Astyanax mexicanus: one gene and its partner. The protein of the gene in region 1 purifies or fractionates together with the protein of each later gene. This does not show direct contact. Links are inferred from orthologs where the notes say so. Each region holds a gene or a part of one and is shown in the gene's direction. Other genes may lie near its edges.

Evidence for each region.
Region 2: the proteins of ndufaf5 (region 1) and ndufaf8 purify together in Homo sapiens (affinity purification with mass spectrometry; 3 studies listed by BioGRID and IntAct, counting the BioPlex papers as one, with this or other methods). This does not show direct contact. The link is inferred for Astyanax mexicanus from reciprocal best matches to the Homo sapiens genes NDUFAF5 and NDUFAF8.

Annotation. Positions count from the first base shown.
Region 1 is NC_064428.1:34,486,840-34,498,318, forward strand, and holds the start of ndufaf5 (arginine-hydroxylase NDUFAF5, mitochondrial), read left to right. Parts: upstream 1-6,472; 5' UTR 6,473-6,589; coding exon 6,590-6,868; intron 6,869-7,595; coding exon 7,596-7,636; intron 7,637-7,725; coding exon 7,726-7,789; intron 7,790-8,543; coding exon 8,544-8,591; intron 8,592-8,682; coding exon 8,683-8,786; intron 8,787-9,427; coding exon 9,428-9,467; intron 9,468-9,979; coding exon 9,980-10,177; intron 10,178-11,154; coding exon 11,155-11,215; intron 11,216-11,302; coding exon 11,303-11,386; intron 11,387-11,479. Other genes in the region: ESF1 homolog, read right to left, coding at 1,152-1,447, 2,879-3,377. UniProt on the Homo sapiens protein: Arginine hydroxylase that mediates hydroxylation of 'Arg-111' of NDUFS7 and is involved in the assembly of mitochondrial NADH:ubiquinone oxidoreductase complex (complex I, MT-ND1) at early stages. May also have methyltransferase activity.
Region 2 is NC_064422.1:33,105,879-33,117,643, reverse strand, and holds ndufaf8 (NADH dehydrogenase [ubiquinone] 1 alpha subcomplex assembly factor 8), read left to right. Parts: upstream 1-5,763; 5' UTR 5,764-5,868; intron 5,869-6,041; 5' UTR 6,042-6,110; coding exon 6,111-6,191; intron 6,192-7,050; coding exon 7,051-7,161; intron 7,162-8,926; coding exon 8,927-8,947; 3' UTR 8,948-9,195; downstream 9,196-11,765. Other genes in the region: AP-4 complex accessory subunit Tepsin, read right to left, coding at 623-1,174, 1,416-1,550, 1,639-1,717, 1,821-1,934, 2,262-2,448, 2,564-2,752, 2,883-2,951, 3,215-3,296 and 5 more. UniProt on the Homo sapiens protein: Involved in the assembly of mitochondrial NADH:ubiquinone oxidoreductase complex (complex I, MT-ND1). Required to stabilize NDUFAF5.

The DNA of each region.
Region 1 (11,479 bases):
TGATATTTTAATAATATATTAAAATAAAAATGAAATTACTTGGCCTGTCACAATACCCATATTTATTAAACGATGTATTGTTGTAAACAATAAAACTGTCATATTGGGACTAATATATGCTGCTGATACACTGAAAATATAACAGAAATATATGTAATTACACCATTTTAAAGATAGCTTAAACTTTTACTTATTAAAGAGCCACTAAGCACTAAACCATATTTAAACGCTTAACCATAAAAAACGCTTTTATTGTGGTAATTTCTTCCTCTGCAGTGCTGTTTCCTCTCAGGGTTAGCTGTGCTATAGGCGAGGATGATGAGTCATGATATGCAAATAAATCAATCAATAATACCGCCCCAACTGGTAACGCCCAATCATCTGCAACTCATCGCTATCAGAGGCACACTGCTCAGACCAATCAGCTCTCCCTTCTGCCCCGCCCCTAAACCCATACATCACCCAGTGCACCTCCCAAACTACCCTCCCATTTTTTTTTTGCCTTTTTTAAGTTTGAGCTGAAGGTGTAGTCAGCAAAAATCGGAGGGTTTAGTTAAACTTTAATAGTCTTGAAAACTAAAAGAGAGGGGAAGGAAAAAAATGTTGAGAGGATGAGAAGGGAAGAAATAAGAAAAAAAAACTAAATTTTGTGCTGGGTTCGTTTATTTAGTTTTGTACATTTACTGTTTCGTCTATTATTTTTGTGCTTTTAATTCTGGATAACGCTAACGCTTTTCTTTTCTCATTCATTGGATTTGTCTTCTTTCTCTGCACATTTTTAAGCATATTTTTTAAATGCTGTCACAAGTATTATTAATTTATATAAAAAAGCATGGAAGTAAACACAATGGGTAATTTTGAGCACCGCAAAAATGAGTGATTTTGTGTCCATATATTGTATGATTGATTGATCGATCGATAACATGATTATATTTACAGGCCTCAGGCCTACAAATTAGGTAAATATTAATAATTAAAAGTTAATGGATACACCGTTTAAATAGCGCTAAAAAGAGACTGTACAGAAAGGGGAAATGTAAAATAAAAATATGGAACCTTTAATGAAAAAAATGTTATTTACTGCACCTTTAATGATGCAAATCACGTATAACTATACAAGAACAGTATTCAAACAATTAAACGATTCGAACCTCCTCAGTGCGTGGAGCGTCCTTCCACATCTCCCCCCAGTTGTGCTCGATCTCCTCTTCCTCTCGACGAAGGTAATCCTCCACCTCATCCTTCTCTTCCTCTTCCTCGTCCTCTGAGCTGGTCTCGACGTTTCCTTTTCCTCTGGCCAGATCTGGACCACTGTCACTTTCATCTTCAGAATCTTCATCATCATCCTCTTCAGAGTCTTCTTCTTCTTCATCGTCAATGTCATTTTCTGCTGAGAGACCTTCTTCTTCATCTTCATCCTCCTCTTCCTGCTCCTCATCTTCCTCTCCTGTATAAACAGAGGAATATGTATTAATAAATGTACTACTTAAAGTTACACTCATTGCAGACAATGAGTAGGTGCCTGACCTTCTAATCTAAAATATTCTTAATTTAAAAAAGTATTTGGGCGATCATTTTTTTTTTTGCCGATATCACAATTTAATGAATATATTCTGCAACAATACAAATACAAAAGTATTATTTAGTATATATATAAAAGTCTGAAAATAATAATATATTTACAGGTATAAAAATCTAAACTAAACCTTTGCCTTACTACTAACATCTACTAACATCTTGATTTGTATAAAATAATAAGTGTAACAACATGATAAATATGATGAAACTAAAGCATATTTACTGAATACAAACCATTTAAAGTAAATGCAGTAAATAAATTAAATACAAACATAAATATACAAAATGGATCGTTTTCAACAATATTATAATCACCTATATCCACATAATTGTGGAACAAATCATATAATTAATTGTAATATAACTAACTATATAAAAAAATAATAGCTTAGGTTTGTGTTTTATGTTTTCTAAACTGATAACTCTTAGCATTTCCCCAGTCAGCAAACCCTTAACACCTTATCAACCACCGAGCAACACCTGAAGAACCATCTTGCAACACCATAGCAGCCACATAGCAACATTTTAACACCACCCGGAAACACCTTAGCCACCACTGAGCAATGCCTTAGCAACCATCCAGCAACACCTTAGCAAACACCGAGCAAGAGCTTAGCAACCACCTAGCAACACTTTAGCAACTACATAGCAACACCACCTAGCAACCACCGAGCATCAGCTTAGCAGCCACACAGCAACATCTTAAAAACACCTAGCAACCACCAAGCAACAGCTTGGCAACCACTGAGCAACACCTTAAGAACCACCCAGCAACACTTTAGCAACCACCGAGCATCAGCTTAGCAGCCACACAGCAACATCTTAAAAACACCTAGCAACCACAGAGTAACAGCTTAGCAGCCACATAGTAACATCACAACATCTAGCAATACCTTGCAACACCTTAACACCATCTAGCAACACCTTTGCAACCACCCAGCAACACTTTAGCAACCACCCAGCAACACATTAACACCAACCCAGCAACACCTTAAGAACCACCCCACTACACATTAACACCCACCTATCAACGCCTTAGCTGCCACATAGCAACAGCTCAACACCACCTAGGAACACCTTAACACCACCTAGCAACACCTTAAAAACCACCCAGAAACACCTTAAGAACCACCCAGAAACACCTTAAGAACCACCCAGAAACACCTTAAAAAACACCCAGAAACACCTTAAGAACCACCCAGAAACACCTTAGCAACCACCCAGCAACACCTTAGCAATCACAGAGTAACACCTTAGCAATCACAAAGTAACACCTTAGCAACCACCTTGCATTATTTACCTTCTTCTATCACTCTCACTCCTTTAAGCAGCTCTGATGATGACGTGGTTTTCCCAGTTTTTTCAGACTCTTTGGTTTTTAAAGCCTTCTTGCTTTTCTTTACAGTTTTCTTAGGTGCAGGTTCCTCCTCTTTTTCCTTCTGAGCCTCCTGCTCCTCCTCCACTCCCTTTTTTCCTTTCGTCTTCTTTTTCTTCTCTTTCTCTTTCTCCTCCTGCTCCTCCTGCTCCTCCTGCTCCTCCTGCTCCTCCTCTCCTCCGTCGGACTGCTCCGAGTCCGAGACCTTGTAGAAACGCTTCAGGTCCTCGGTGGAGGTGTGGCTGACCGGCCGGCCGCGTTTATCCACCGTGTACTTCAGCTTGAAGCGCTCGTCATGGAACATGGACTGGAACCTCTTATCGATCCGGACCTTCTTCTCCACGTCCGGAATCTCCCAGAAGCGAGGATCCTTAGTGATCTTGGTGAAGCGGTCATCACAGCTCGGCTGCTTCTTAGACGACATGATGGAGCTACAGCTTCCTTACACACAGAAACCTGCTTAGAAAACAAAGAAAAATAGTTAAATTACTTTATTTGATAATTTTTTTCAAAGTGTGTATCACACAACTGTTTAACTGTTTAGTATTATCAATATTTAAGCACCAATTTCAGCACTAATTGCATACAGTGCAAAAACATGGAGATCAGGTACATTGGATACTCTAAATTGCCCAGAAAAATTGAATACTCTAAATTGGTCTGGTAAATTGAATATTCTAAATTGATCTGGTGCATTGAATACTGTAAATGGCCCAGAAAACTGAATACTCTAAATTGATCCGGTGTGTGTGTAAATGTGTGGTATGTATGTAAGTTTGTGTCTGTGTAAAATGGGCGTAAATGTGTGTATGACTGTGCCCAGATATAGATTGGCACTCTGTCCTGGGTAAATGCTGTAGTGCTCGATGCAGTCCTCCAGGTGGACGGTTGTTTCCGGTTGAGAGTACGCTGTGCGCTTTTGGCTGCCGCTTCTCACCGGTGTGTGGATGAGTGTTGATGTGTAATGTGCTTGTGTGTAAAAACGTGTAAATTGTAAAGCGTCCTTGGGTTTCTAGAAAGGCGCTATATAAGTTGAACTTCATTCATTCATACAGTTAAACCCACTAGCACTCGATGGGTAAAGAATTATAGAACCTCAGATAAGACAATGTCCAAACCACTGGAGTTCAACACGCTTGAAGGAGAACACTAACCACCAGTACTGTTACCATTACACTGAGTAATAATTCATTTCTACAAGACCCATCATTTTACATCTTCTCTTTATCTGTTAGAATCTAACATACTATTTTTGCTACAGTTATATTATTAAGACTGACATATAGTAACAGTCAAAAGTTTGGACACACCTTTGATTTCTAAATTGTAGATTCGTATGAAAAACATTAAACGATTAAGGGATACATATGGAATTATGTCGTAAACATTTAATAAAGTGTTATTCCTCCACATTAATCGGTGATATGAGGTGATTTGAGGTGATTTAATTGTGATGAGCTGGAGATTCACAGCGTGAAGGAATAGCAGCAGCTATTGTTCAGCACCTCCAGGAACTCCTTCCTTCAGGACTCTGAGAAAACTATTCCAGGAGACTCTCCCTCATGAAGACACTGAGATTAAAATCTCACCAACAGTGTGCAGATCTGTTCTCAAAGATAAAAATCCTTATTTAGAAGAATCTAAAGTAGCTATAAAACAGATTCTAGTTTGTTTAACACTGTTTGTTTACAGAATAATTCAGCATGAGTTCCTGTATAGCTTAAATATAGTCTTCAATAATACATTAACAATGTAAATCTTTGATTTAAGCAAATGTAAATCCTCTGGAATATAATCAAGAGGAAGATGGATGATCACAAGCCATCAAACCAAACTGAACTGCTTGAATTTTTGCACCAGGAGTGATTAGCATAAAGTTATCCAAAAGCAGTGTGTAAGACTGGTGGAGGAGAACATGATGCCAAGATGCATGAAAACTGTGATTAAAAAACAGGGTTATTCCACCAAATATTGATTTCTGAACTCTTAAAACGTTATGAATATGAATATGAATTCTTTGCATTATTTGAGGTCTGAAAGCTCTGCATCTTTTTTGTTATTTCAGCCATTTTTCATTTTCTGTAAATAAACGCACTAAATTACAATATTTTATTAGGAATTTGGGAGAAATGTTGTCTGTAGTTTATAAAATAAAACAACAATGTTTATTTTACTCAAACATAAAATAGGAAAATCAGATAGACAGTAATCAGAGTTACTGTAGTTAGATATGTAGTATGATAACATTAGTTAGCATTAGCCTCTGCTGCTCAGTGATAAACAGGTGATTTTAATGTTATTAATGGTAAAGGAATAAAGTCAGTAGATAATCTGATACAGCAGCGGATTGTTAATCTCTCTGCTGTTTAAATAAACCGGATTTAAAGTGTAAAACAGTGTAAATAAGGTAAATTAGAGCTGTAAGATTCTCACCACTCTCTGATCCTCCACTCCACACACCATCCACGTGTTACCCCTGACCTCTCCTAGCTCCGCCCACCCACACTACGGCAAGCCTGGGGACCCAAAAAACATCCCGTCCCTGCCTTCATTCTGAATGTGTGAGAATTTTATATCTATATTATTTCAATACCTACAGAAAACTGCAGAAACATAAAGCCAGAGTAATTTAAGTGTTTTTAAATAGACTAATTACACTAGTTAGACCCCCTAATATGCAGATTGGAACACAACCTGTATTTGAATGAATAAAACCCACGTTATGCAGCTGCGGGACGTGTTCCAATCTGCGCATTAGTGTTACAAAACAAGATAATCACTACAACAAGATACCATACAGCTTTGGAAAAAAATAAGAGACCAATTCAGTTTCTGAATCAGGTTTTCTTATTTTGCAATTTATAGGTTTATGTTTGAGTAAAATGAACATTGCTGTTGCCCAAATTCCAAATAAAAATATTTTAGTCATTTAGAGCATTTATTTGCAGAAAATGAGAAATGACTGAAATAATAAAAAAGATGCAGAGCTTTCAGACCTCAAATAATGCAAAGAAAACAAGTTCATATTCATAAAGTTTTTTAGAGGTCAGAAATCAATATTTGGTGGAATAACCCTGGTTTTTAATCACAGTTTTTTATGCATCTTGGCATCATGTTTTCCTCCACCAGTCTTATACACTGCTTTTGAATAACTTTATGCTTCTTTACTCCTGGTGCAAAAATTTAAGCAGTTCAGTTTGGTTTGATGGCTTGTGATCATCCATCTTCCTCTTAATTTTATTGAAGAGGTTTTCAATTTGGTAAAATTAAAGAAACTCATAATTTTTCAAGTGGTCTCTTATTTTTATCAAATGCTGTTTGTAGTTAATGCATATATATATTTTCTGACATATATTATGCTATACTAATTAAGCAGTTAATTGAATAATTAATAATGTTTGTGATGACACAATGCCATAAGTGAATGATAAATGTTATTCTGAAAGAGATTTATTTATTTTTGCTTGGCACCTAACTCAAGTCCACTTGATAGTGTACAAGTTACCTGTTGTGAATTGGAACACGCACATAAACCCACGTGACTGTTGAGACTGCAGACGGAAGGTCAGCGGTTTTAAAATGCACTTGTTACTGTAGAGTTGATTTTATTAAGTTATGTTTTACTAAAGGTAATAAATGATGAACAGTGTGATTAATCTAAGAGCTCTGAGGCGGGGCTGTGTGCTCTGCCTCGGTCTGCCCCCCCGGATCAGCTCCCAGCCGGCGCGGAGCTGCAGCTCTGCTGACCGGGCTGCACTCCCCCTGCGCCGGCTTCACCCTGCGGCTCAGCCCCGCGGTCTGTCCTCCAGAGCCGGAGGAACCATGAACGTGTTCGACAGAAACATGAAGAAAAGGCAGAAGAGCTGGGCCTCCGCCCTGCAGGACAACCACAAGTACGACTATCTCAGAGATGAGGTCAGAGACACGCGATTATCAATTTAATCCAGTAGCTCACCGATTACTCAGACGATTAATCGAGTAGTCTGTTTATTATTGAGATGATTGATCGAATAGTCTACCGAGTATTGCGACGATTAATCGAGTAGCAGCCCAACGATTATTCAGACGATTAATCAAATAGTCTACTGACTATTGAGACAGTTAATCGAGTAGTAATATCAAATAATAAGACGATTAATCGAGCACTCTACCAGTTATTGAGATGATCATAAAGTAGTCTACCGATAATTGAGAAGATTAATTGAATTGTCTACCAACTATTGAGGCGATTAATCGAGTAGTCTACCGATTATTGAGTCAATTAATTTAGCAGCCCATTGACTATTTTGACGATTAATCGTGTAGTCTACCGATCATTGGGACGATTAAGTCTGCTGATTATTGAGTGGATCAATCCAGCAGCCCACTGATTATTGTGACAATTAATCGAGTAGTCTGACGATTATTGAGACTATTAATCAAGTAGTCTGACGATTATTGAGGCGATTAATCAAGTAGTCTACCAAATATTGAGATGATTAAAGGAGTAGTCCATTGCTTAGTAAGACGATTATTTCAGCAGGCCACTGATTATTCAGATGATTAATCAAGTAGTCTACCGATTACTTTTCATTATTGTTGGTCTTCCCGATTATTTAAAATTTGGATGGTTTGAGTTTTAATAATTCTCTGAACATTGCAGGTTGGAATCAGAGTTGCGGACAGGGTTTACGACATTGCGAGGTAAGGTGATATGGTGATGTTGTGTATCTCATTCTGATCTCTACTCTATCAGCAGCGTTTATACATCACTGTTTCTGGTGTTTCTGCAGGACCTTCCCGTTAGCGCTGGACGTTGGCTGTGGAAAAAGCCACATTGCCGAGCACCTGAGCAAGGTAGACCTGCTGGATCTTTTCTGAGCTTATCTCTGATTATCCTAAAGGTGTAGGAAAGTACTAGTACTTTACTTTTTTTGGATTATAAGGCGCACTCTTAATGAACGTCTATTGTCTGGTCTATTTTCATACATAGACGCACAGGATTATAAGGCGCATTATGCAACACTAGTAAGGAACAAGGGTGTCACCACATTTCCTTTCTAATGGGGAAACTGAGGGAAGTGCCTAATTAAACAATATTCAGTATCTTTAAAAAAATCAAATGAGCGCCGGATGTTATCCTACACAGATTTCTCTCATGAAAACTGTTTATTAGGGTTTATTTACAGTAAGCTTAGATTTACAATATTTTTAATAGTGCGGTTAGCGCTAGTAAATGCCGGCTAATAGCGCTAGACTAAGGAACCCCAGCTAGCGGTTCATCCCACGTAGCTTGTTTTAACACGGTAAACACACAGACTACAGTTCAATATACTCCCCTCTGAACAGTGAAAAGCTAGCGCTGTGGTAAGCGGCTAATGCTAATACTGCTCCAGCCTTAGTGCTGGAGAAACTTAACTGAAAACTCTCCCTTATAACTCTGTACTTCAGCAGAGTGACTTTACTGCTCCCTAATACCTGACTGGTAGAATTTATACAACGCACTGATGATATTTGGGAAAATTAAAGAATATTTGATATTACTTCTAGCATATTAAATACATACTATATATTAAATAACTAGTCCGTTCTCTACGTTTCTGTTTTTCAGGAAGTTGTGGAGCGCTTTTTCCTCACAGACATTTCGGAGGGTTTGCTGGTAAGTAGCGGTGCTGGAAAGTGAAGGAGAAGATCAGGAGATAGTAAAGAGTGAATTATATTATATATTGTGTATATATTGTGTGATTCAGAGGCAGACGAAACCCTGTGAGATGCCCACTCACTGCGTGCTGGCGGACGAGGAGTTCCTGCCGTTTCAGGAGAACACCTTTGATCTGGTGGTCAGCAGCCTGAGGTAAATCTATTATTCATCAATACACTAATAGATAAAGTATGCTGGGAATCTTCATGTATTTTAATTAGTAGTTAAACTGAACATTTTTTACTACTTAAATTATATGCATCTCCAAAATATTACCTTTACAGGGCACGTAAATTTACCATGCTACCTTTCTGTGGAAGTGAATATCGTCGATGTCCTATGAAAAACACTTTTCTCGATTTTTGTCAATTTTTATTTTATTACATAATTTGAACAGGCAAACTGTCCCTTACATTGTGCCAAAATTTCTTGATGAACGGACCAATAGAAACTCTTCAAAATGACCTGAAATAAACTCTTTTTACATTGACTTCCATTGAAAGTTTAGAAGGTTTGTTCTCTCTCTTGTAAAGTTGCTGTTTTGGAGATAAGTGTTTTTCTTTGGACAGCGACGATACATTTCTCTTATTTTTTCCAGAGCTGTATATATACAAGGATTTTGGGTGACTGTGTTTACAAAAAAGTGCACATATTAAACAATATTTAAAGTGTGATTATTTCATACAGATTAATCTTTATGAATATGTTCTTGTATACTATTAAATATAATAAACACAATATAAACTGCAGCAGGGTATTTTTCATTACCATCATTGTGTGTTTGTTGTTTATAGCATGCACTGGATCAATGATCTTCCTGGAGCTTTGAGACAGGTATGTTTTATTTGTATTTGCTGGTTTATTTATTTGAAGTAACAGTGTAGTTTTTTGGTGAGAAGTTGAGGTACTTTTAAAACGTTAATTGTGGGCCAGTTTCTATTCAGAGTTAATTAATCTGGTAATTTTATTTAGGATAAGCAGGGTTTTGGTTGCTCAGATAACCAGCAAATCCTGTAATAACCAGAAAAAGGTCCTGTAGGGACCTACCAGACACCATGTTTTTAAAATGAATATACCGGTATGTGGCATTGCAGGAATGATAGCCAAAGCATATTGATGCCATTTATTGTAATGTTCTGCCCTCTGGTTCGCTGGTTTGAATCCCGCTCATGGGTGGGTACAGTAAATGGCGCTTTTTCCTCTCATCACTCTTAGGGTGATGTGGATCAGCACAAGGCTGCGTCTATGAGCTGATGTATCAGAACCGCTTTCCTCTGAGCGTTAGTGCTGTGATGCTAATTTGGGGAGAAAAATGGGCTTAGGGTTCTCTCTCTCTCTCTCTGTAGATAAACGGTGTGCTGAAGCCGGACGGGGTGTTTATCGGGGCGATGGTTGGTGGTGAGACGCTGTATGAGCTGCGCTGTTCTCTGCAGTTGGCTGAGCTGGAGAGGGAGGGGGGCTTCTCCCCCCACATCTCCCCCTATACCGCCGTCACCGACCTGGGCAACCTGCTCAGCCAGGCCGGCTTCAACATGCTCACCGTGGTGAGGAAATAAGAAATAAGAAATAAGAAAATAAGAAATGGCTGAAATAAGGGGTTCATCACTCAGCCAGACAAACTGCAGCCTCTCCAGCTGGAGGCGCCACTGGACTGTTCTTATGCAGCATCAGAAATCAACCAGTGTTTCAGTCTAATCTGTATAATAGAAGTATAATAATGTAAAGAACCTTGATTTAATGTTTTTAAACATCTTAGACATTATGCATTTTATAAAATACTACAAAAGGTCTTAATACAATAAAATACAACAATAAAATCTTAACTAAAATATTGAAAGTTAAGATTTTATTTTTGGAGATACAAGGCTTTTTTTGCCTGACCATGACAATTTAAATAATATTAAAAAAGCGATTTTTTTTGGTACATAGAAATGCCAACTTAAAACTGTATTGTAATGTAATACAGTGTCAATCGATCAATTAATCCACCTTTAATTTCACTATTTATTTTTTTCACACTTAAAATTTGAAAAGAAAATTATAAAGTCTTTTAACAGGTTAGGCTAAAATAAGTTAACTCATAAACAAAAAAATACAAAAATTAAAGGGCAAAAGAATAAAAAAACAAACAGACAATTAAGATTTTATTTAGAATAATAAAAATAAGCAAACAGTAGAAATAAAATAAAAAGGTAAAACAGAAAATAAACTAAAATGATTAAAAACAGAACTGCTGATGTTATTAGTAGCTGTTTTAGGCCAATGATTACTGGTATATAAAACTTGCACTTACTACTTGCATTAGCTACCGAACACCTTGGCTAATTAGCGTCATGCTAAGTAATGTTAAAGAGGGAGGGCCGTCCTATCCACCCAACTCTTAGACTATTGCTTCACCCAGGAGCCCATTGGCTTCTATTCTAAATTATTTTTTTTCATCAGTTTATTTTTTTTTATTTTTCATATTGAATATACCTGTGTTTAAACTGTATGGAGGTAATCTTTCCTGTATTGATTGCAGGATGTTGATGAGATCCAGGTTAATTACCCAGGGATGCTCGAAGTCATGTCAGATTTACAAGGTAGAGTTTCTGCCTCATTTTCCAAATAATTAAAGGATAATGAATGATTAACACATCTCTATATGTATGATGTATTTATGATTTCAGGTATGGGAGAGAGTAACTGTGCGTGGAACAGGAGATCCCTCCTGCACAGAGACACCATGCTAGCAGCAGCTGCTATTTATAAAGGTGAGTTCATAATAAATATGGACATTTTTATCTAGTTAATATGTGTAGAATATATTAATAATTATTATATATTACAACCCTGTACAGCCCTAA
Region 2 (11,765 bases), on another chromosome or scaffold:
CACACACACACAAGTCATGTATATCATGACAGAGCAGAGATTAGATCTCTTTACAGTTTTTCATTTTGGAACCAAGTCTGCTAATTAGGGCAGAACTCCCAGCACACACAAGGCTTTCTTAACAGTTCAACTACACACACTAAGCCATATTTAGGTAGCCAGACCAAGTGAAAATGCAGATTAAAAATCTTGGGCAGTGAAACGTTACAGCTTTCCCTTTTTAACTGTTCTGCTTATTTCCAGAGCAGAGATATTCAGTGAATTTGTGGGTATTAAAACAATAAAATTCATTTTAAAAAGTGTATTGTGTCAGCATTGTTATACTTGTCAAGCACAGTCCCTGGAAAAAAAAAAACTAGCAGCATTTGGATACATAAATATTAAGTGTTTTTTTTTTTTGTTTATTACTTCATGCACCAATGCCTCAGGTGTACCTCCCGTGTTCCTCCCTGAAAATTAGCATACTGCAGACTTGTTCATTTAATATTTTTCAGAATTAGTTTAAAATAACAAAGGCTGGCATCAGGAGCATTGAGGGGTTTGGTGTTTAAATATTACTTTTAGGTCATTAAATAATACTACACCCTGGACCAAGGTGTTTCAATCAGAAGGCAAAGGAAGATCAGAGGTTGACGAAGGAAAAGGCAGAGATTTGTTCACCACTAGTAGATAAAGAGGAGTCTGCAGTTCTTTCTGAGCTTTTCTCCACAGCAAAGCCTGTGTAGCCTTCTGCCCCAGTCTGGACATCTGGCTCGACAAGAACAGGCTCAACCAGACACACAGGCTTCCCTCTGTTTACCAGCTCCATCCCACTAAACAGTGAGAGAGTAGGATGGTGTCTAGCGGGCTCTGTGTATTTGTCCTCATCCTCATGTACAGTCTGCGGGTCCTCTACCTGCACTCCATTCTCAGCAGATTCTCCCACAGCAGCAGCAGTCACAGTATGCTCTTGTTTTAGACCATGTTCAGAAGAAAGAGCATGTGGGAAATTTGTGGATGACATGCTAGAAGGTGCTTCAACATCCAGAGTAGTTGGGAGAAGAAGTGGGCTGACAATGGTGGGATTTAATGGCTGCTTTGAGAGCGAGGGGCTGGATGATTCTGGACAGACTGCAATGCCAGTCTTCATCAGGGGCGTGGAGCTGCCCAGGAGTGCCTCAAACTGTCTAAGGAGCTATACAGTACATAAGAGAGATAAAATATATTCAATAATACATACAATACTAGTATAAACAGCTGTTGCTCAGTGGTGGAGAAATCAGGTCCAGAAAGTAAAAATCCTTCCCGACTGAGCTGCAGCACAGCTTTCCAGGAAATGGGAGCAAAATTCTAGGAAGGATTTTTATTTTCCTGATCTGAATTGTACACCCACTGCTATCACTAAAGATACAAAGATTTAAAGCAATTTATTTAACCTTTGTTGACTTGTTGGCTACAGGTCCTTCCACTTCCTCACTGAGCTGGGCCAGGCGCTTATGTGTAACACAGAATATCTGGTCCAGAGAGAGGAGATCTGTAGACATCAGGCAGGCCAGGCCACACAGGGCCCTCTGCGGAGAGGAGAAAGAACTTGCTTTATCAGTTGCTTTGCCAAACAGAGACATGAGATAGCAAATACTAAAGAATAAATAAATGTACCATTTGGACAGTCTGTGCTGTTTCCTTCAATTTGTGAGAGAGAAGTTCTACCACAACTTCACAGTTTAAAGTAGAACACCTAGAGAAGCAGGACAAAGAAACAGTTAATTAATCTGACTTTACTGCCAACAAGTATTTTTTATACTTTTATTGGGATACAGCCTCAATATACAAATGCTTACTCTTTAATGAAGTGCTGGCTCTCATCTCTGGACAGGAAGATTTTGGAACCATTAGTAAGACTGCTGATCAGCGCCATCTCCTGACCACAGTCTCCCAACTGCATGGCCTCCACACTGAGAGAGAAAATATTTACCTTTACAGTGGGCTATTCACTCACAGATCCTACATGCATTAATAAATAAATTCTATGTAAAATATAAATAAAAGCTTATAACTAAGCTTTTAGGTTTCACCCATGAACATTTTAGAAAAAATACTAATTCTTCATAACATGCTATAAATAAATGTGCATTTTATTATTACTTCTAGAGTTAAATTGTGTCCATAACATGAACACTAGTCTTGTGTTCATGAATTCAGACAACTTTCCCTCAAGCTCTTTATTCACAGAACCACAAAGTGGGGAAAAAAGTTTCAAGCAGACTAATGAGATCCCTTACCGTTCTGCCAAGTCTCCACTCTCTCGACTGGCCCCCGAATGGCTGCCTGTTTCACCGGATTTGCTGCTGTCCCCCCTGGAAGTGTGGCTAAGTGGCTCAATCTCAAGAGAAGAGTTGTGAGAGGAGCTGTGCCCACTACCAGTCTCCTCCCAACCTCCACCTGCCTGTCCTGGACATCTGTGAGAAGCTAGAAATAAGGAATTTGATTTTAATGATGAACAAAACTCCCGTATATAAACAGAATCCAGAATCCATAGCTTGGACGAAGAGCTGTTATGAGGGTCTGTGTGTGCACAGCTAACCTTTGTGGCTGTGAGTGGGCACACTGTAAGCACATGCTGGCATTGCCACCTCCACTGCAGCAGAGGGAGCAACCACTGCCCGATAGTGGTTGTCATATAGACGAATCCCAGGCTGCTCTGTTGGTGGAAGGACAGCACTGGCAACTACCTCTGCAGCCTTCTGAATTTTACCCAGAAGAGTCGCTCTGTCTTGGGAAGAGATATTGTATATATGGAGGATGAGGACAGATACATGGAGCTACATAATTTAATGCAGGCATTTAATTGCTGTAAAAAAAAATCACAGTTCGTTTTGGTAAAGTGAAAATTACTCTCTTACTGGATGTTTTCCTTCCAGGGCTGTTTCCAAATCCCTGCATTCCTGAGCGGAGAGATTCTGATCCCATTCCTGCCGAACAAAATAAAATAACAGAATATTACACAGATTGTGGCTACAGAAAATATCTTTATGCTTAAATTCTTTAATTAGCTGTTATTATCAGTAAATAAACAGTCAGTTGACAATGATAAGAATCGTGCTTAACAAATACACATGCACAAATGTTGGACAATACAGAATCCTTCACAACTTTTTTCATGGGTATCATCACATAAACAGCATTTTTCCATAAAAAAAGAAACTTAACATTTCCATCAAGAAAGCTCCCTTACCCAGGCTTGGAGTTGCAGCTTTGCATGGCGAGAGTCCAGAGTTTGCAGACATTGTATCATTAAACAGCACACCGGCCAGTTCCTATAAAATAGCCACAATCAAACATTAAATCTTTGTTCATTTAAAAATTAAATGTGTCAGATAAACTGTTAATATTATAAGGCAAAGGAAGAAACAGATAATTACAAAATCTCAGGTTTGACAACCTCAGTATTTAACAGAGAAAGACACACATCTCACCTGCGCTGCAACCCTGACCCTTTGAAAGGGAGCATTGCCATGAATGGGATCTGGTGGACCACTGTAAACTGAGAGACCACACAACATGTCAGTCTGCTTTAAGAAATGGGTGAAAATGTTGTGTACCGGTAAGTTAGGCTGGTACTTTTGTACGTCTACTCCAAAAAATAAGGGTTTAAAGTACTCTATATGTGTGTAAATAAAGTAACCATATCCAAGTACAGTGTCCATTTTATTCAAAGGATCTAGGTCTGTTGCAATAATTACAATATCGTTTTGTCGTATAATATATGAAAAAGAAAACACTAATTACCAGTTACTTCTTGGATGAATGTAGCATTCCGCCTCAGTTCTGTGAGAAAGTGAGGAGGACCATGTCCACACAGATGCAGGAGGATCTTCAGAACCTTGGACAGAGAAATGAGGGGTGAGAAATCTCAAAGAAACAGACAATCACATTTAATCAACTCCTCATTTCCCTCCTCTACGATACAAATGGAGGTTTGTGCTTGAGTTTCTCTCACCTTCAGTTTCACATGGCAGGACTCCACCTGCAGACGCTCCAGGAGGTACTCCAGAAGACACTGGCAGCAGCCCAATGACTCATGTGAGATTTCTATGATTTGAAGTGAGTGAAGGAATTTGATGGAGAACAGTTGTGTTCATTTTGTGTTCAAGTTGTGTTCAAAACAACAATGTTCATTGTACTCAAACATATATCTATAAAACAGCAAAATAAGAGAATCTGATTTAGAAACTAAAGTGGTCTCTTAATTTTTTCCAGAGCTGTGTGGGTAATGTGTTGTAATGAGAGTGAAAGCTGCTGGGAGAAGGATACTGTTGATGTCCTGGAAGAGGTAGCCGGGGCAGGGCACTTCGTCATCTGCTGTTGCCTTCATGAGGGTCGGCACCTAAACAGCAGTCAGGGAGAAGACAGGGTTAGAGACTGCGGCGCTCAGCAAAACCAGCTGAAAGCAAGAGTAAAATAGGGGGTAAAATATAAATATAGTATAAATATAAATGTCAGAATCCTCTGACAGCTAACAGGCTAGCTAACCCTGCTGTGTAACTCTACGGGAGTTTGCTAGCGTTAGCTAGTTAGCCAGTTAGCTGCGGCTATCACACTGTAGCTAAACACTCCAGAGTAAAATCCAGATAGCAGATATCTTTGCTCGCTGGTCTCCCACACAAAATGCCGTGTCTGATACCTACTTTCTGAAGGAAAGTCAGCCTTTCCATTAGTGTAGCCATCTCGTTCCGATGAGCAGTCCACCGCTCTGTGTACCATTGCTGTGCGTGACTTGGTGGATGACCGTGCACTTAGCGAATCACTGCATCTGTTAGTGAACACCTCGAACCGATTCTTAACCCGTTCAGACCTGAATTATGTTCCAGTAATGAAAGAAAATGCTGTTTCTGTTTGTAATGTAATGCACTCACAAACAAGTTAATTATTTTGTAAATAAAATAATAAATAAAGTAACTAATAAAAAATAATTAGTTTAACATTATTTTTATCCTATATAACTTTTAAACACCTTCTTTTATTTTGCAAATCATTCCTGTGGAGTAAAACCAAATACATGATAGGAAAAAAATATTTTGCCTCATTAGCTGTGATGCTGCCATGCTTTTCTTTCAGTGTGCAGATTAATTTAGATTAATTAGATTAATTCATTTTAAAAAATAGATGTATATCTGTTAAAAGGGTTAAGTTATGGAACAGTTGTGAAAAATGTTTAAGAATGCCTAACATTACTGAATGTTACTGAACATAAAGAAAGTGTCATCAGTCCTTCTGATTCTGATGCCACTGATGTTTAAAGATTACTTTCTAAAATGGGCATTCATCCCAGGATGACAGGGTGAACAGAAAAATTATGGATACGTTTAAATATCTTATTTTTTTTAATTAAAGTAGCTAATTAAATAATTAAAATGCCTAAATTATACAAAAGAGTTCAGAAATTAATATTTGGTGGAATAACCCTGGCTTTCAACCACAGTTTTCATGCACCTCCACCAGTCTTACACTCTGCTTTTGGATAACATTATGCCTAATTTTTAGGTGGTCTCTTATTTTTATTTTTCTTAGGTAGTCTTTTATGATTAGGTATTTAAACAACTATGCTGTCAAAATGTAATATTTAAAAGCAGAGTCGATTCATTGAACACGACAGTTCAAAAGAATCGATTCTGGAATTTGAATCACGCTCTTCAGTACTACAACGTTCTGTCACGACCTTGCCGCACAAGCCCTAATGATTCATTGGTTCATCTGTTTTACTGAAATGTCTTTAGTAGCCAATCAGCAAAGATAGTCAATTTTAGGGGGCGGGTCATACAGATGTTTGACCAATCACTGGTGTGAGAGGGCGGGCCGTTTCTTCGTCACTAACATGGTGAGCACGGGGTGAGTAGTGCCTGCTGTTGTTTTCTGTCAGTAATATGATTTAATCATGTGTTTTTGATCAGAGTGTTAAAGCTGAGTGTTGGAGTTTATGGGTAATTGATGTATATTGTTAAACAGTGTAAAACAGCGCGGTATTTTACTGTTAAATGTGTGTTATCTCTCTCTGTGTGCAGGAGTTAGCCTGCCTGTGAGCTAATGTTAATAACTGTGGGTTGTGCTGAGACTTAAAGCTGATCAGAATCATGTCAGGGACAAACCCCTGGACCCGGAGCCGAGAGAGGATGAGGCGGTTCCCCGACCTGCTGGCCCAGTGCTTCACAGAGGTACCTGTATGATGGTGCCCATACCTGTCCAATGCTGTGTTCATCTGCTGTTCCTCTGGTCCTACATGACTTTGAAAAGACTCTGAAAAGGCTTAACAGACTAAAGTCTGACACCCTCTCACATCTAAAGACTAGTCACAGACTTTTTACTCACAGACTAAGATTTTGCAAAGACTGGGGGTCACTATTTGCAAGACTGCAACTAGATTCTTCCTGAGATTATTTCCCATCATGCTTCTGGTTGAGTTTACATACAATGAATATAACATCCTGAGTTACAAATAATATGTATATCAATACTGTGATTTATCAGAGACTGACAACTTTTGTTTTTTAATATATTTTGTGTTCAACTCTGCTTATAAGCATCTTTTTCCCACCCCCTTTTTTGCTACAACCTTGTATAGCAAAGAATCACAGTTTCACTGCTGTACATTTGTCTTTGTTTTAGATAGAATTAGTGCAATAAAGAACATCATTCTTGCAAAATGTGTATTTATTACATTTGTTTGTATCAGAAATAACACTACACAATAAGATAACGTAGTGCAAAATAAAATAACTTTAAATATAATGACTTTAAAGTGCTAACGTTACCTAGAAAGAAGAAGAGAAAAAGAAACATAAAAGGCTTATTAACTGAAAACTGTGTTCTCTTTCAAATCGTTTGTAAACAGTCATATATTCAAATATTCTTGACCTGCGGCTTCCCGTAGATCTCCTATTGGTTGATGACATCGTTCACATCACTATTTGCGAGAGCCGAGTCTCAAGACTTTCGATAACATTTTAACAGCAGCTGTAAACTAAATGATTTACAGACAGCTGATTAACTGTTCTCTGACTCTTTTTCCTACAGGCAGCAGTTTATGGGAAATGTGTGGTCTCCACTACTACTGGTAAACAGGAGCTGAAGAAAGATTTATGTGTAAAAGAGTTTGAAGCCCTGAAGACCTGCTTTGTCTCTGCTGTGAGTAAACCTAAAACCATTAGCACACTGCCCGGCCAAAAAAAAAAAAAGTCGGCACCTGGATTTAACTAAGTAAATGATGTGGGGTTGATGCTGCAGTTAGTCAGGTCTAGATTCAGCAACAGTATGAAGAATGAGGTCAGCTGACTACCTGAATATACTGAATATAGACCCGGTTATTCCATCAGTGGATTTTTTTCTTCCATGATGGCATCATGACAATCATCAATCCTGCAAGATCTTGGTGAAAAATTAATGCAGCACTGGATTTAAATAAATCTTATGACAAGCTTATTGAAACAATGCCACAGTGAATGCAAGCTGCAATCAAAGCTAAAGGCGTTCCAACGAAACATTAGAGTGTGTGACCTTTTTTTTGGTGGCGACTTTTTTTTGGCCAGGCAGTGAATTACAATATGTTTTATTGTATACAGTACCTGTCAAATGTTTGGTCTTCTTTTCATTAAGTGTGTTTTCTTTTTTTTATATATATATATATGTATATATTTTTTTATATTGTACATTTAATAATGAATACATTAAAGCTTTTCAGGAACACATGTGGAATGATTCTTCTAAATGGCCACATTTATCTTTGGGGACAGATCTGCACACACAAATGGGTATTTTAATCTCAGTGTCTTCATGATGTAGAGTCACGTGGAATAGTTTTCTCAACCTCTCAAAGGAGTTCCTGAAGGTGCTGAAGCAGCAGCTGAACAATAGTCGCTGCTACTCCGTCACGCTGTAAAGCTTCGGCTCATCCCAAATCACCCAATCTCAGTTGGGTTTAGGTCAGGGGATTTTTTTTTGTTTACTACGTAAATCCATATTTGTCCCTTAATTATTTTTGTCTTTTCTATTTATCTACAGTGTAGAAAATAAATAAAGAAATAAAGAACATTGAATGAGAAGGTGTGTCCAAACTGTATAATAACAGCAAACGTGTCAAATTGTGGGGAACATTTAATATAATGGGAATACAACAGAACATGATTTGATTTAGACTAACGTCTGTCAGTACTGAAACTCATACAACATTAAATAAAATGGAAAACATTAAGAGATTGGCATTAATTAGCAAATTAAACAAAAAGTCCTTACTCTGAATTGTAATATTTGAAATTATGCTTTTTAAAAATTGTTCTTATGAAAATCAAATGCCATTTGAAACAGAAGGGCCCAGATGCATATCCTGCATTTCAGTGAAGGTTTTCTTTTTTATCTTCCATGGCAAATGGCAAAAATCATGAGACATGATACTATTCTGTCCCGTTACTTGTGGTATATTAATGTAACTGTATACAGAAACTAAAAATGTCTTAGATTTAACAGCGTGACCTTTTTGGTGTTATATAAATCAATTTTTTTGCGGAACAATCAACAAGAAGGATTTTTTTGCTGTCATTGTTTTAGGTGCAGATTCAGACATTCATATTTCAAACTAAATAAATTTTCACACCACCCTTCTCACTTCTTAAATTATGTAGTTTGGATAAAATAAACCACCTGTTGGATTTGTATATATTAAGAGAAGAGTGCATCATTTGGATGGATATGAACACAGAAGTACATGATGTGTTCTTATATATGTGTATACCGGTAGTTTTTGAAGCCCTTAGGATTTTCACTCTTATTTGTCGTTACTTTAAGCAAACTAAAAGTTTAAGTTTGTTTGTATTTGTATAGTATGTGTTCTCTGACCTTAATATCTAAATTGTTTTAATATTTATTCTTAATTAACTTAATGTATTTTTCTTTGCAGGCAAAACGGGGTGTGAAGTAGATGGAGTGCACAAAGCCATTCATTGACCATCATGTTTTATAAACATACATTTATTTGTATAGTTACAATATAAAAAAACAGTTGCTGCCATTTTTATTTACCAGTATAAATAGTGACATTATTTTTAATATTTGAATAATATATGTTGGTTCAGCATATATTTGTATTGTCCTCGTGTATAAAACATAAATGAATTGTATGACACTTGGTTTTGTGTGAGCATGAGTAATAATAAAGAATGAATGTGAATAGTAAGGAAATGGACCGCGTGGTTAATTTAAACTCTGCCACAGAGAAGCATGGGCCAGTAATTCTGACAGCCCCACTGCTTAATTAAATAGATTAGAGGAAGATATGGATGAAAGAATTGAACTAACCATAACCAGACTGTTCATTTGTTTTAGACAGAGAGACGGCGGGGGTAACTGGCTGCATGTAGAAACTGAAACAGGCAGGATGAGTAATGAGGTGTGTTACGGCTCTAAGGGTGGCACCGTCCGGCTTTAATTGCTGCTCTTGGATCTGTTTTTTAAGGGATACATTAAAAGACATAGCTTTGAAGAACTGGTCGTAGCTCAGTCAGAGCAGGAGATGAACATAAAAAAAGGCAAGCTGATTAATGCTTTGCCATGGGTTTCATGTCACTGGCACCCCAAAAGCTTATGCACTTCAGCTTACCACATATGGAAATGCAAGCTGCACCAGTATTATTGACGCCCTGCTGGAGAACCCACACCCTTGTTAGCCAGATGTTAATTGATGGAGTGGCCATAAAGGCAAGTCAGTAATGACTTGGGATCAACATACAATCCAAACAGCCAATTAGAGAATGGGTAAAAGGCTTGAGTATATAAATGTTTGCAGCCAACGGCTTGGAGAGCTGTGGAACTCTGCTTGAGGTATCTCTATAGAAAAAAAAAAAAACGCATGGAAATTCGTCTTAACCTCACTCTACTCTGACTCAGGCACTGTTTGTGGCTTGTCTTTATGTGGTGGTGCTTCACACTTTTTTTAGTGCACTACAAGGTGTTAATTAAAAGAGTCTGGCCCACTGGAAGTGCTCTTGTTCTGCCAAACTTGGCCATTAGCCTTAATGGTAGAGCCTTTGAATTTTCTTGAGTATGGTCTTCATTTGGAAATCATTTCATTTTTTTTTCAGTTTCTCTTGAAAGATAATCCATTACATATAAGTTTTTGTCTGTTTTACAATATATTTATATTTTATTATTAATTTATTATTATTAAATATAGACATATATTAGGATCTAACAATAGAGAGTTGGACAGTTTAGTACTGCTTTAGGTCCATGAATTCAGGGCTGTAAAACTCTAAACATAGAAATATTCATTGATTTTGGAAACATCTGTCTGTGAGATTATTGGCTGGTTGTAAAGTAGAAACCTGGTTATTGTCTGACCCAACATTGTCCTATTATTTAATTACTGATGTACATGTAAACACATTCATTGGATTACTGACAATATCTGATTTCTGCAGGTATTTGATTGTTAATTAATTTAAATGCTGTTATCAGGGGTGTCAGTTCCAGAATATCAGTTTAACATTCAAAGCTACCTACTATTCCAAAATAAATTACTAATATACCACAAAGAAGGATTTACTATCCACACAGTTAATAGCATAATCACCAGTTTTTACACACTATTTGTTTACGCACAGTTGTGAATATTCCATAACATTACAATCTGGTGGTGGACCCACATTAACATTTATGAAAAGTAATAACAGACTTTCAGACATTACAATGGCCATTTTAACACCTATTTTAAATGCATGTATGTGTTAAAACAGGATATTTATCTCCAGAACATACAGTATATCTAATTTAAAAACATCATCCCCCTGTGGCTCAGTAGGACCACAGGCAGCTGCATATTGTTGCCTAGTGTTACAACCACCTATAACCCCATATAGGAAAAACCTCTACAGCACTCTGATTCTGGGTCAAAACTCATTTTTTAGTTTTAGATGACAAGTAATTGTCATCTGTGTAGTAATCATTTGAAACACCAAACAATGGTATGTACAGATCAGATTTTATTCCCGAAGCACAGAAGAGATGTAGCTCACAGTGTTTTTAAAAGGCTTTTTGACTGAAAAATGTCTAATGTATGCTCCTTGCTTGGTCAAATGTCCAAACACATAAAATAAAACAAAATAAAAGCTCAGGTCCAATTTCAAATGAGGTTTAACACAAGAGGGTTCATCACTGCTTTACACATTAGAAACATTAATGAAGTCTTTTACAGTACAGTCAGTGAACAGGAACTATAGGGGGCAACCTGGAGGAGCAAGCATCTCTCACCCTCTTAAAGAGTGGACACGACTGACAAATAAGGCACTGAAAACACAAAACATTCATAGCCAAGAATAAGGACTGTAGATGGTCCATGGAAAGATAATGGATTTGCACAGACAGCAATGTAATTCAATGCAAATTGGAATAGAACTGAATTGCATACTTTGTATACTCTTGATATATTTTCAAAAACAAACATGGAATTTATACCTGTACAATTGGTCCATTTTTTTCCCGATTGTGCCTTTAGAAAATGTCTACTTGACTACATCAAGAATAAATATTAAGATACACTCGTTTTTTTTTTTTTTTTTTTTTTTTTTTTTTTTTTATACTTCTTTCACATTTACACAAAGTTTTATAGCTGTAACAAACTAACTATGATTTTGGGGAGAGCTGCTTTGTATTTTTTTGTTTGGAATGGAAAAAAATAAATTACAAAATATTTTGGTCTACAAAAATAGAATTTGCATAAAACTTTGAATGAATGATTTTAC